Yarrowia lipolytica: one gene and its partners. The protein of the gene in region 2 interacts with the protein of the main gene of each other region in a pairwise test. Links are inferred from orthologs where the notes say so. Each region holds a gene or a part of one and is shown on either strand. Other genes may lie near its edges.

Region 1 (4,733 bases), on a different chromosome or scaffold from region 2:
CGAGAAAAGTGGTGATGGAGGGGTGGTGCCAATTAGGTTGGAGCTAGATACCGAGGGGGAGACGAGGGAAATGTGACTGAAAGTGGGTCGTTAGAGATTGGAAAAGAATTGTGAAATGACAAGATTGATCGGAGGAATAAGGAGAATATATATAGGTTTTGAACGGCCCAAAAATCCCCACTTTGACACCATTTCCACTTTAACAGCAATACTAACCACCTTGCAATTTACCTAATAAATAAAATAATGATAAAATATCTGACATGTGACTGAACATTTAGATGTATCCAGACACATGGTGGAGGACGGAAAAAAAGACCACGGATCACGTGATACACGTAAACCCAGAGTGGCGTGCGGTTTTGGGCGAGTCACGTGACCGATAATCTCTTCCCCCCGCTACTTCCCCGCAGCTGCCCACTCTGGTGAGGTGAAGTGCTTGCACTCACTCATAAATGTAGCGAGTATTTCGGCGTCGTCGTCATGTGACCACGCACGTGATCTGGCATATATATGACGAGTCACGTGACATTGCACATTACGCCGTGCTCACCTCCTCCTCATCTTCTTTTGCTCATAACCTGACTCGTACTCACTCGATCCGGTATCTCATCACCTGCCTGCTTCTGACAATTTCCATCACCCTAACCCTGAACAAAAAAACCATTCGGGTGGTCACGGGACCAGCCGTGCTGAAAATACGTATACTTAGTAAGCAGATTTCATGGGCCTCATGGAGCGTTTTGGGGGAGGTTTATGGGGGTGTTTATGGCCGGTTAAAGACGGCTAAAGACGGCTTTTTTACGCCCAAAAAGGAAACTGTTGCCTCCTCTTTCTCCACTCGTGACCTCTGGACCCTCCACTCGGGCTGTATTTCGATTTGTCGTCTCACAATGGCCATTAGTCACAAGCTCTTTGGCTGAACTTTTACTGGTACAGTAAGCATGATGAGCAAGCAAGATGAAAAAAGGTGCAGCATTGAGGTGGGCGGGTCACGTGAGCTGGGAAAAAATGAGGGCGGCGAGAAGGGTAATTGTTGGGGACACAAAGTAATTGAGCTTACTAAGCGGTCCTCCGCCTGCAATGGGGTTATAGGTGTTCAGTTTTGTTTGTTGGTGGGAGCAAATGACCGTTTGATCAAAGCCAGTTGAGACTGTCGATTGGTTGAATCCAACGCAGCAGTGGGGAACAATTGAGAGTGGGAGCGGCGGGGGCACGAGAGGAGGAACACAGATGTTTATATAGATGGGTGGGAAGTGACACAGAGCGGTGGGGTCCGGAAAACCCGGCGCCAAAACCGGCAATGTCGCTCGTTTTTTTGTTGACCTGGACTCAACCATGCCTGTCAGTAAACACTCCTTGTATAGAGTACCTCGATATATGAGTGCGTGCCAAAATATACGCAGGGCAAATCAGGCAACCCTTTTTCCACACAACCTTAGTTTAGGCACAGTCACAAAGCTACGGTTCCAGGTACTTACTTGTTGTTGCACAAGAGAACCATCCGCCGTACCGCAAGACAAAGTACACACTCTACTCACACTCCATCCCCACAACCATGTCATTCTGGCGTATGGGATCCGGCTTTTCGTCGGTCAGTGTGATTGACAAGATTCTGGACAACCCAGACCACACGTTGCACGAGCTTCTGGAGGAGCCCGACCTGCTCCAGGAGGTGCTCAACTCCAACGCCAAGCTCACCGAGTATCTGCGACGAGACGATATTCTGGAGGAGCTGGTTCAGCTGGTCAAGGGGTCTCCGGAGAGCTCAAAAGAGGAGGGTCAGGGCGAAGGTGAGGGCGAGAACGAGGGCTTCGACGACAAGAAGCCCAATTCTGAGGAAGATAAGGACAAGAAGGACGACTGTGATAACGACAATGACGTGGAAATGGCAGATTCGGACGACAAGGAGCAACCTAAGGAGGAGGAGGAACCGAAGCAGGGAGAGCAAGCGACCGACGCAGCAGACCCCGACAAAGACGACGAGGACTCGGACACGTCGTTCGATTCCACATCGTCAGACCCCTCCAAGTACAAGCTCGAGGAGGAGGACCAGCAGCACTACGCGTCGGTGGCCTCTGAAATCCTGTCTGCCGAGGTCTGGTCACTGACAGAGGCGCTCATGGAGCGGGAGGAGCTGGTGCAGCAGATCTGGGAGATCCTGGACTACCCGGCCCCGCTGTCCATGAACCAGGCACAGTTCTTCACGAAAATCTCGGAGCATCTGCTGGACAAAAAAACAGACGATATGATTGCATTCATCAAGCGGCAGTCCAACTTTGTCGAGCGATTCATGCGCCACATTGACGACCCGCCACTCATGGACTTTCTGCTCAAGGTCATTTCCACCGACAAGGCCGACAACTCCACGGGCATCATCGACTTCCTGCAGAAACAGCGCCTGATCCCGTCGCTCATTGCCTTTCTAGGGCCCGACGTGCCGTCCTACATCCAGTCTGCCGCGGGCGACTTTGTCAAAGCGTTTGTAACCATGTCGGCCAACTCAAACTCGGACAACTCCACTATTGGCCCCAACGAGCTGTCTAGAGAGCTTGTTTCAGAGCCTGTCGTGCGCGAGTTTGTGCGACTCATGCTGTTTGGAGGCACCGGCCTTGCTACCGGCGTGGGCATCATCATTGAGATCATCCGAAAGAATAACTCCGATTATGACTACATGCCTGTGTTGTTCATTACCATGAAAACACACCCTCCGGGACCTCGAGACCCCATCTATCTCGGCACGCTGGTGCGCATCTTTTCGCAGCACATTCCCGAGTTCCAGGCCATGCTCACCCGTCCCAGCAATAAGACGCTCAAGACCCCCATTGGCGACATTGAGCCACTGGGCTTTGAGCGGTTTAAGATCTGCGAGCTGGTGGCAGAGTTGCTGCACTGTTCTAACATGACACTGCTCAATGATCCCAAGGGCGAGACCATTGTTGCCGAGCGAGATGCCGAGCGAGAGCGAGTCAAACAGGTCATCGCCAAGGCAAACGAGGACGGTGGCGACATTGACTTTGCCCGTCTTTCAGTGTCCAACGAGGACGAGGAGAACGAGGAGCAAAACGAGGAGGAAGAAGGCGAGGCTGCCAAGGCTGACGCCGAAGAGGCCAAGGCTGATTCAGCCGAAACCAAGGCCGAGTCCGAGGCAGTCGAAACCGAAGACAAGGACGACTCGCTGGAGGCAATCGAGGCAGCCCTGCGCAAGGACCCCGTGGTGGGCGATCTGCTGAAAATCTCACTGGTGGACAACGACGTCATTGTCACGATTCTCAACATGTTCATGAAGTTCCCTTGGAACAACTTTCTGCATAACGTGGTGTTTGACATTGTGCAGCAGATTCTCAACGGCCCCATGGGTGACGGCTTCAATCGGTTCCTGGCCATCAATCTGTTTGATAAGGGCCAGCTAACCCAGCTCATTGTGGACGGCCAGCAGCGGTGCGACGAGTACGAGACCGAGCACGGTACCCGAATCGGTTACATGGGCCACTTGACGCTCATTTCCGAGGAGGTGGTCAAGTTCACGGCGGTGTTTACCCCCGAGTCTATCTCTCCGGTGGTGGCTGCCGCCGTCACGGTCCCTGAGTGGATCATGTACGTGGCCCACACGCTGGTCAAGACCCGGGAACAACACAATGCTCTGCTTGGCGGAGCTCGGCCGGACCACAACTCTGTGGCGCACAATCCCGACGCCATTATTCTTGGCGACGGAGCTGGCAACGAGCTCGGTGAAGAGGAGGCAGAGGACGACGAGCGAGATGGCGGAGTGGTGGACGTCGACGAGGACGCCAAGGAGGACAACCCCGACCAGTTTTCGCGATACATGAGTCAGCAGATCACTGGCGACATGCCCGACCGGTTCGGCTCATCCGACGAGGACGATGAGGACGACGTCTGGGAGGAACGCAAGTTCTCCAACGATCTCAAACCGTTCCACACCTCGAACAAGAAGGAGTCTTCGGACGAGGACTCCGATGTGTCTGAGGGTGAACCAGAGGTTGAGATTGAGCAGGAGGTCGAGGTCGAGGGAGCTGACAAGGACGCAGCATTACGTTCGAGCAAGGAGGATAGCCAAAAGTCTGACGGAGACGCAAATGAGGAACCTGAGAAATCGGAGGATGCATAAATAATGATGTAATGAGATTGGAAGTTTTGACAGATCCGAGCTCAGGGAGGGTCTGTACATTGTAGAAGATCGATGACAGATCCGAGAACCGCGAGGGTCTGTACATTAGAAGACTGATGACGCAGCGATGGTCTGATATTAGAAGACCGAAGTATGCGTATGTACTATTGAATCAAGAGACGGAGAGAGATTCAAAACTCCGATCTCCCCAATCTCCTGCGCTGTTAGTCTAAAAACATTAATTATACACTACATGGGCCAAGCGACACGGTTCACTTACGTCGACGTCCTCCGACCTTGGTGGCGGCCTTGGGCTTGGGCCTTTCCCGCTCCTCCTTGGCCTCTTTTTCTTGCTGGATCTTGGCCTCCTCGGCCTTCTCGGCGGCAGACTTGGGCTTGACAAGATTGAAGAGAGCCACGGGCAGAGTGACCCACAGAGAGTCCTTGATGCCGGGCATCTCCACCCCCTGGGAAGAGATGGGGTGCTCAATGTTGTTGTCAGTGTCCACCAGATGGATCTCACCGGTGTTGTAGTAGCAGTACTGCCGACCGTCTACAATCACGTCTGTGGTGGCAGGCAGTCGGACTCCGTTCTTTCGGCTGG
Region 2 (3,986 bases):
AGACTACGATACACTATTTCACGAGCATAGCATCACGGCTCCCGAGCCACTAAACGACTAAACTAAACAGATAACATAACGGTACAGTATATAAACAAGCATCGAGTGCATTACAGAACGAGTAGTACGAGTATGAGGACTGTATATAGGACTGTACGGCACGGTACACGCACGAGAGCTATTGATTCAAGTGAGGTGGACAAACTTTCAAGCTATACGACTAATACGACTATCTCCGCAATCTCCGAAATACCGTTGTTGCGGTGGCATTGGAATGTAAACGTTGCAGGAAGTGCATGAGCAATCTACATTGTAGAGTGCGGGTTTTTGAGGTTAGTCAAATATTGGGGTAATAAGGGGCTGAAAAGGCGCTTAGAAAAGCGGTCGAAACACGTTTTTGGAGCGAAATCCCAGCTTTTTGCTCGCAGGACCAAAAGGGAAAGTTCAGCAGCCAAACAGTAATCACTCAAAGTTGTTTTCAGTCAAGGTTGATTTTCAGGGAGCAAGTTACAAGCTGGTCTTGTGACCTGAGGGGCTGTGTCGAGAATGCGAAGTGATACGCATACAGTAGAGAAGGTGTTGATGATGACAACGTTCAGATCGGGCAACGGGGCTCGGAATCGTGGAGGAGAGGACATATGATATTGATGCAGCATGTGTTGATGTGGTTTATAAACAGTTGGAGCTGATAGTGTGGGTACAATAGGAAGTACTTTCATCTCGGCATTCTACTGGACAACCTCAACCAGTTGGTTAAAAGTTCTGTACTGTTAACTGCTAGACAAGGCTAATAAAATATTAAAATATAAAATATAGAATATAGATATAGAGTTATAGGGTGTAGAAATATAAAATCAAAATATTAAAATACAAAATATATATATAAAATTTAAAAAAGTTTAAAAAATAGGAATACAGTATAGACCACCAACAATAGCTCCAAGACACGGAAATATAGACATAGACATGGCCTGCTTAATGCCGGCTCGGTGCATCCACACTGCCGTCGAGCAATTAATATCCGGCCATCATCCCGAAATCCGTCCTGTTTTCTCTCCTCTCAGACATGTCCATTGTCTTGCTGTCATCCAATGGGGTTTGGGGTAATGGGTGAGGTACAAGTAGTTGGAAGAGACACAACGGAGATAGGCATGAGCGAGTACGATACACCGGAATGCTCGTAGTGTACCGTGCAAATAACCCAACACCTCCAACAAATCACATGTTATGCCATCACTCCTCCTTACAATGCTCACATGACGTTGAGGTCGTACATTTGATAACACTGTTGGGTTGGAACCTAATCAGTTTGCTGCCCTGAACGGTTGTCGAAGGTGCGCATACGATAGTGCCATTGGTGACTGGGGATCGGGCGACGTGGTGATGGAGCTTTTGTAGGGTAAGTGGTAACTTGGCAAGTTCTTGGAACCGCTAGGGACTGTCGGGATCTTAAGTATCCGTCTTTTTTTAGCAGAAGGTGTCCGGTTTTTGTTCACTTTTCCACCCGCTCTCTTGGCATGGCGCCATTTTTCAACTGTAGATTTCACCTGAGGTAGGGCTCGGTGCTGCACGGGGAAAAAAAAGCAAGGGTGGCGATTGAGCTGAAGCGGTCCTGTAGTCGGTTAGATTCGCAGTTGGGGAGGTGCCCAGGGCCTCAATTGGACACAAATAGGCGACGCTGGCCGCCAGCAATAGTCAGCAATCTCTTGTCTCCTTGTTAGGGGACCCGCTTTGGAAGTCCCAACTATCGTATATAGTGCTCTTGAACATCCGCTTTTCCGCACTCACTCACTCACATCCTGTACATCGGCACATTGCACCACATACACTTCTTACAGTAACGCAACTGCAACACGGTGCAACAAGTGCAACAACAGAGAGTCTCGGACACACATTCTCAAGAGACTGCACCCAGACAAGCGAAAAAATGGACAAAGAAAACGCCTCAGTGGAAAAGGCCCCCACCACCCCGTCTTTGGCGGTCCCTGCTCCTTCCCAGGCTTCCCCCCAATCGCCCCAGGCAGCTCTATCGCCGTCCAACTCGTCCATTCAAGCCACCTTTGCCCGCGCACGAAAAGGCAGTCACGCTTCTCAGATGGAACGCCCCAACAACCGCGACTTTGCCATTCCAGCCTCCCCCACCGTGGGCGAGTCGTCCATTGCAGAGCTGGTGACGGCACCACCGGCAGTGACGCCCTCCCGGTCCCGATCGTCGTCGGCAGCCTCCAACAACCAGGCCGCCATGTCGCCTGTGTTCCCGGCTTACGACGACTCCAACGCAAAGCACTACCGCCGATGGGAAGACGACCGATTGGATCTCATGGTGCAGCCCGACAAGCTGGTGTTTGTGGAGGGAGATACGCCCGTGGAAAAGGCGTTCGATAAACTCGTCGAAAACCACTTCACCTCGTTGCCCGTGCGAACCGCCCCTGAACACAAGTCCGTCTCCCACTCTTTCGACTACGCAGACCTCAACGCCTACCTGCTGCTGGTCATGGGCTACGTGGACGCCGCAGACACCACTCCCGAGGCACTGGAAAACGTCAAGAAGGCGCGATCGGGCCAGCCCGTGCCGGTCAACTTTGTGGCTGGCCTGGGAGCCAAGGATCCCTTCATCTGTGTGCCTAGAGACTCCACTCTGGCCACTGCCGTAGAGATTCTCGGCTCTGGCGTCCACAGATTTGCCGTCACTGAGGGCCCCGCCTCCGACGCTGTCATTGGCATTCTGTCCCAGCGACGAACCGTGCGATACATCTGGGAGAACGGCCGGTTGTTCAAGACGCTGGAGCCCCTCTTCCAGACGCCCCTCACAGACCTGGGTCTTGCCCAGCCCAACCCCAATGTGCTCACCATTGGAGGCGATGAGTACGTTATTGCGGCGCTGCGAAAGATGAACGCCCAGAATGTGTCTTCTCTCGCCGTCGTCGACGCCTCCAACAACCTGTTGGGTAACATCAGTGTGGTGGACGTGCGGCTTGTGTCCAAGAGCTCGCAGTCACATCTGCTCAAAGCCACCTGCGCGCACTTCCTGTCAGTCATTCTCAATGCCCGGGGCCTGGAGGACGGCAAGGACTCCTTCCCCGTGTTCCACGTGACCCCGCAGACGTCATACGGCCGAACCATCGCCAAAATGGTCGCCACCAACGCCCACAGACTGTGGGTCGTGCAGCCCGATGTGCCCTCTCCACAGCCGTCGACCCCCTCTGGTCAGCCGGCCTCCAAGACCCACGGTCCCTCTCACCACGCTGCTCACAACGGTAAGCTGATTGGAGTGGTGTCGCTGACCGACATTCTCAATGTGCTGGGTCGACATGCTGGCAACTCGGACCTGGACCCCCATTTTGCCCGTCGAAACCGACGACGGTCTTCCTCCTCGTCCGTGCGATCGCGATCTTCCTACGAGCAGTTCCGACGGTCCATTTCCATTGATCGGGGTCAGAGATAGGCCACGGCGGAATCTGGAGTGATCACGTATATAGGTGGAGAAAAGGGGGGATGGTATAAGAAGGCTCCCTTCTCAAAGAAATCAAGCACTATTTATGCTAATAAAATTGAATTATATTTGCTGGAGTGCAAGTACAACCACTGGTACTTGTGCCGTACTTGTGCCGTACTTGTGCCGTACTTGTACATGTTAGTTGGATGTACCTGTATTATAGTATCGTGGTGCTAAAAGCAAGGCTGGTCAGCCGTGCATTAGATAGAGCAGGGTCCTACAGGGATGTCGAAGTGGGGGAAAAGTGGGAAAAAGTGGCGCTTCTGGCTTCTTCGAAGCTTGTATTGTGTTTGTTTGGGTCGGTCTGAGTCTGATTGAGCCCGTTCGAATATTTGGCCTGTCATTAATTGGGTAACGGCGGCGGTTCAGATCGTGAGGATTTTTTATTTTTTATATTTTTATTTTATATTTTATATTTTATATTTTTATATTTTATATTTTATATTTTTATTTTCATCCAAAATTTCAAGATAGTTTTATCTTTATGTTT
Region 3 (5,660 bases), on a different chromosome or scaffold from region 2:
CTTGTGTTGCTGTTGTTGGGCCACGGGCGCCGTGGGGGGCAGCAGCGAGGCATTTTTCTGTGCATCGAGGAATTGTTGCAGCTGCTTCTCGATTTTAAGTACCAACAGACGCGATTGCGGCGTGGCGAGAGCCCGTTTGAGCGCGTCGTCGAGGGGCATTTTTTGTTGGTGATGAAAGTGAAAATTAGAATTGGGTGTAGCTCAGGTATCCCCAAAGCTTATGTGTGGGGTGAGAGAAACAAACCGGGAACTGTAGGTGTCGTAGCCAAGTGCAAGTTCCACACGGCCATAGAGGAGTCGGGAGGCTGGATGGCTGGCGGGCGTGGTTTTTTAGTAGTGGATTCGTCCAAGATACAATTGACTGGTCGTTTGCGCTGGACTGGCCTGTCACGTGTCGGGGAAATCGGTATTTTTCAATGTTGTTTTCTGATGAGTAGTCAGTAAGAATGAGAGAGAAGACAGAGAATGGCGGCACAAATACGATAGAGAAAGAAGAGCTCAAAGGATACGGCACTGACCGGAAATGAAAAGCGAAAGAGTGGACCCACAAGTAGCCGATTACACAAGCAGATATCTGACTCCAATGAGCTCAATCTCACACGGTTTTTGGTCTGATTGACCAGTCGTAACCGTCAACGTTAAAGTTCATGCCACGACATGATGTTGAGTTTGCCATGTCTGACTCTGGAAGGGTGTCGGTCGTAGTGAGAAGGCAGTCAGAAAGCGAGGTTGCGAGGTTGTGAGGTTGGGCGCGGGCTGTCAAGACCACATATATAGAGAGAAGGATGGATTCAAAGTTACATGGACACTGTAGCATCGAACGCTCCTCAACACAAACGCATACTCTACATAACAGCAGGGGACGCGGACTAATAATTATGATCCGTGTATACGTCAGATACAGTACATACGAGGACAATCTATGTGGACGACAGACTATAAGTACAGTACATACTGTACATACTTGTATCAGTACAAGTCATTGGGAGAACAATATATACAGGATGATTCTATAAGAACTACATGTAGTGTTGCACCACAAGAGCGTAGAAGTTACGACATGTTGAAAAATGTTCCGGATCTAAAATCAATTATCGAGTCCCACACTCAGGGTATACGTTATAGATTGTTTTTTTGCAAAACTATTATATTCTCCAAGTACAGTATATACATTAGGGAGGCGGCCTGCTGCTGCTGTTCTTACCACTGAGTCCCTGTGCATAGAGTTAAGGTCCCGGATAAGCTGGTTTGGTGAAATATTGAGGACCCTTGCATTCATGTGCGAGAATCTATTGTATTATATTTATTGTATGTACTGTACAGCCGATACGAGTGGACCACGAGCTGGCTATTTTACTGTATGTGCATTCTGGGCACCCATAGCGTAGAGTACCGGTATTTCTTCAGCTCATAGCAAGGCTTTCCGCCAAGGGCTTTCTCAGTTCCATCAAGGTTGTAAATTAGTACAGAAAGTACTTGAGAAGTGCCAATAACTACTTAGTTCTTACAGTAGTAGTACACTCGTGGTACTTCGGCCTGATGAGAAGAAGCTCGTACGAAATCGGTAAACACGGTGGCAAAAAAACGACCGAAAAACATAGGTGCGTTCAATTGAAGGTGACACCAGTGTACTAAATCGCTCGAGTTAGGCCCCGTGGAGCTTCTATTCGCTGCTGTCTCTAACTCCACAGTATTCGTGCTTGGAGATTACCTAATATCGCACGCCAGACATGTCCCAACTGCACCCTACAGTACTAACTTTCAGATTGAGACAAGTGTGGCAATTCATCATCTGGATCAACACCATGTCATCAGCAGAAGAAGTGAGTGAAAAAGAAATGGAGAACGATGAACCGAAAGTACAGCCGTGCTAACACAGATTCGTCTCAAGCGTCTAGCTCGTCTAGGAGGAGGAGCTTCCAGTCCCTCTCCTGGTCCTTCCGAGTCCAGGAAGGCAGAGGGGACACCTAAGGAGGAGGTGAAGAAGGAGGTGAAGGAGGTGAAGGAAGTGAAGAAGGATGAGCCCAAAAGCACACCTGCGATCAAACCCAAGATCAAGATTGTGCCCAAGGCCGCTGCTTCTGCCGCCACAGGCACATCGACCCCAAAATCCGCTGCACCACGACCAGCTCCAGCTCCCTCGGCTTCGCTGACCGTGCCGTTCCAGCAGTACGAGCAGGACGCAATTGAAAGCATTCTGCGAATCACAGTGCGAGACAAGCAGCGATGCACGCAACTTGCATCGGTCAAGGAGGAACTGGAGTCGGAAAACAAGCCCGTGGCGCTCTCCAGAGACAATCTCGAAGATGCGCTCTTCAGCCACCTCACAGGATCCAAGGCAGTCTTCAACTATCTCATGGAGAGCTTTCTGCGGGCCAAGAAAGACTTGGCAGTGCTCAACAAGGCTGGCACGGACGCTGTCGATGTAGAGCCCAAGAAAGAGCTGGTCAGAAATATTATGGAAATGACCACCCGATATGGACTGCTGTTTGTGTCTGTTCCAGACATGTACGAGCAGGCCCAAGGCATTATGGAGGTGCTGAAACTGTCACAGAACGGCTCATTGTCGTGGGAGTTCGTGGACGAGATCTTCTCACGTGCCCAGACCGACGGAGACATGGGCTCTGTTGCGGGCAAGATTCTGCAGGACGTCAACGGGCTGATTCTCAGCGCCAATCAGGACGCCTCCCAGTCGGCCACCGCTGCTCTCTACTTTGTGTCGCACCTGTTCAGCAACAAGCTGTTTGCTTCTGCTGTGCCCGAAATTGAAGGCTTTGTCGAAAGTGGCACCAACGACGAAAAACCCGCAGACATTGAGAAGAACCCCCATGGTCTCGGCCCCGTTTTTGCCATTTCTCCTTTGCATGGTTCTACCGCTCTCACCTTCTTCCCCATCGGTACTCCTGAGCAAATGATGGATCCCCGTGGCAACGCCGCCAACGGAGTGCGAGCCGAGTCGCGAATCGTGCAGGACCAGCTGTTCCAGATTGTCGACAAGATTGTGCGGGCGTCTCCACAGGCACGAGACTGTATTCTGCAGTACTTTGGCCGCGTGCTCAAGTGCAACCACAGAAGACGAGCCACTCGACTGCAAGAAGGCACCACATCTTCTGACGGCTTTCTGCTCAACATATTTTTTGTGTTGCTCAAACTGGCAGACCCGTTTGTCGATAACGCCTGTTCCAAGATTGACAAGATTGACATTGACTACTACAGCCGAACCAAAAACGCGGTAATTGACATTTCCGAGGAGACCAAGATCCACGCCGACTCCACCGAGGCCGCAGAGTACTACGGAGACGAAAAGAATGCCGATAAGAAAGACCTGGCTCCTAACTTCATTTCCCATGTGTTTTTCCTCACCGCCGGATACCTATACTACGGTTTTGGAGGTGCCCAGCAGCAGGTGACACGTCTCAAGGAGCACCATGACCAGGTTAGAGACTACCTTGACAACTCGCGGATCCAGTATGCCAATGTTCCCGAGGCTCAACGGGGAGCAGTGAACATGCAGCTACAGAAGGTGGAGAAGATGGTGGGTTCTTTGGCGGCCCAGCGAGCAGCCATTCTGGCCGTCATCTCCGAGCAGGACGTGTGTGTCCAGGTGCTGCAGTTTGCTATTTTCCAAATGCATTATCTCATCCGAGTTCTGGACCCCTCTCACACTTATCCCCTGGGTGGCGAAGTTACTCTGCCCCTGTACACTGGAGAGAACACGGGACCTATTGCTTACCTCCCCGAGTACCTAATCGAGGGTCCTGTTGGCATTGTAAACGTCATGTGTCGTCACAACACCATTCTGGCCATGTTGTCTCCCTTGGTGGACGTTTCTGCTCTCGTCACCTTTGGAGTGGTCTTTCTGCGACACTCGGACGTGATCAAGAACCCACATCAGAAGAGCAAGATTGTAGAGATGTTGTTTTGCGGCACCCAGCCCATCTACAACCAGAATGATGGCTTCTTGGTGTCTACATTCAACTCGCAGAAACTGGCACTGGAGTCGCTTATGCATTCGCTCATGAACATCTATATCGAGTTTGAGCAGACTGGAGCACATACTCAGTTCTACGACAAGTTTAACATTCGGTACTATGTGTCGCAGATCATCGAGTCTATCTGGAACAATGTCAACTATCAGAAGCGGCTGGAAAAGGAATCCCATGACAACATTGACTTCTTTGTGCGGTTTGTGGCGCTGCTGCTCAACGATGTCACCTATCTCATGGATGAGTCGGTCAGCAGTCTCACGGAGATTCGGCAGATTGAGGCGGAACTGGCTGCCATGACCGAGGAAGAGAAGAACTCCACTCACGCCCAGGAGCTGCAGAAGAAGTTCAAGACAGCCGAGCGCAACATCAAGGGGTGGATGCCTCTCACCAACAAGAACATGAAGCTTCTTGATTTGTTCACCCAGGCTGTCCCCAAGTCGTTTGTATCGCCCGAAATCGTCGACCGACTAGCTGCCATGATGAACCACAACCTCAAGGCGCTGGTTGGCCCTCGATGTCGTGATCTCAAGGTCAAAAACATGCTAAAGTACGGCTTCGACCCCAAGGATCTGCTGGTCAAGCTTTCCAAGGCTTACTACAACCTGCACAAGCAGGACGCGTTTATCCAGGCTGTGGCTCGAGACGGCCGATCGTTTGACCCGGCAAACTTCACACGTGCTATTGAGCTCATCTCGCGTTTCAACCTTATGCCTAGAGAGTACCTGGATCAGATTGTGGCACTTCGAGACAAAGCCTCGGAGGTGGCTGCTCAGGACGAGGAGGACGAGCAGGACCTGGGAGATATCCCCGACGAGTACCTGGATCCTCTCATGTACACACTGATGACCAACCCTGTGATCCTGCCGTCGTCCAAGATCAATATTGACCTGGCTACCATCAAGTCGCATCTTCTGTCCGATCCCAAGGACCCCTTCAACCGAGCGCCTCTCAAGCTGGAGGACGTACTGCCCAACGACGAGCTGAAGTTGGAGATTGAAACCTGGGTCGAGGAGAAGCGAAGTGCAGCCAAGACCAAGGATGCCGATGGGGATGTTGATATGAGCTGAAGAGGTTGGCTCATGTAATGTGGAAGGGTGTTGGAGTAGATGTAACGACTTGGAAGTTTGTAGCTATGAGTAAGAACGTATAATAATCAAATGAACTGGTTGTGCGTAACCGAATGACGAAGTCGTATGTGCACAACAATTGCCAGCTGCGGATAAAATGTGCAGCAGCTAACGAAAGAACTGGTCTCGGTCAAAGCTGATGAATGGTCGTATGAGAGTCGACTGTGAATAGTGATCGGTCACAATCACCTGTATGTGTGGTAAACCTTTGAGCGGGAGAGTTACTTGAGGAACTCCCGCACCTTTTCGGCGGCTACCACCTAACAATACCATCGTCTAATTATCTATACCAGTATCTAACATGTCTATTTCTGCTCCCGCTTCTTGATCTCCTTGTCAATGTTGTAGACGACCTGTCGTCGGGCCCGTTTGAGTTCTGCCGCGAGATCAGGAAGCTGTACCGTCTCCACGATATGGTCAATGCTGGTGTTGTCCACGAGCAGAGAGTTCTCCACCGTCTCGTTGGAGGTCGGAGTGGCAGGGGCAACCCCGTCTTCCTCGGCCAGTTTTGCCACGTTCTTAAGCACGTGAGTGTCTTCAGCCT

Evidence for each region. The genes of interacting proteins can lie anywhere in the genome.
Region 1: the proteins of YALI1_E20596g (region 2) and YALI1_F15708g interact in a two-hybrid assay, tested with the Schizosaccharomyces pombe proteins (2 studies listed by BioGRID, with this or other methods). The link is inferred for Yarrowia lipolytica from reciprocal best matches to the Schizosaccharomyces pombe genes sds23 and ekc1.
Region 3: the proteins of YALI1_E20596g (region 2) and YALI1_D15523g interact in a two-hybrid assay, tested with the Schizosaccharomyces pombe proteins (2 studies listed by BioGRID). The link is inferred for Yarrowia lipolytica from reciprocal best matches to the Schizosaccharomyces pombe genes sds23 and ufd2.

The regions. Positions count from the first base shown.
Region 1 is NC_090775.1:1,569,314-1,574,046, forward strand, and holds YALI1_F15708g (uncharacterized protein), read left to right. Parts: upstream 1-1,558; coding exon 1,559-4,129; downstream 4,130-4,733. Other genes in the region: YALI1_F15695g (uncharacterized protein), read left to right, coding at 282-375, 466-923; YALI1_F15745g (uncharacterized protein), read right to left, coding at 4,402-4,733. UniProt on the Schizosaccharomyces pombe protein: Has a role in chromosome segregation. May provide a dynamic connection between kinetochore microtubules and kinetochore chromatin.
Region 2 is NC_090774.1:2,057,595-2,061,580, reverse strand, and holds YALI1_E20596g (uncharacterized protein), read left to right. Parts: upstream 1-1,927; coding exon 1,928-3,445; downstream 3,446-3,986. Other genes in the region: YALI1_E20626g (uncharacterized protein), read left to right, coding at 1-2; YALI1_E20604g (uncharacterized protein), read left to right, coding at 967-1,103, 1,150-1,321.
Region 3 is NC_090773.1:1,550,509-1,556,168, forward strand, and holds YALI1_D15523g (uncharacterized protein), read left to right. Parts: upstream 1-1,805; coding exon 1,806-1,823; intron 1,824-1,879; coding exon 1,880-5,056; downstream 5,057-5,660. Other genes in the region: YALI1_D15506g (uncharacterized protein), read right to left, coding at 1-159; YALI1_D15557g (uncharacterized protein), read right to left, coding at 5,143-5,236, 5,280-5,389; YALI1_D15568g (uncharacterized protein), read right to left, coding at 5,422-5,660. UniProt on the Schizosaccharomyces pombe protein: E4 ubiquitin chain-elongation enzyme specifically involved in polyubiquitin chain assembly.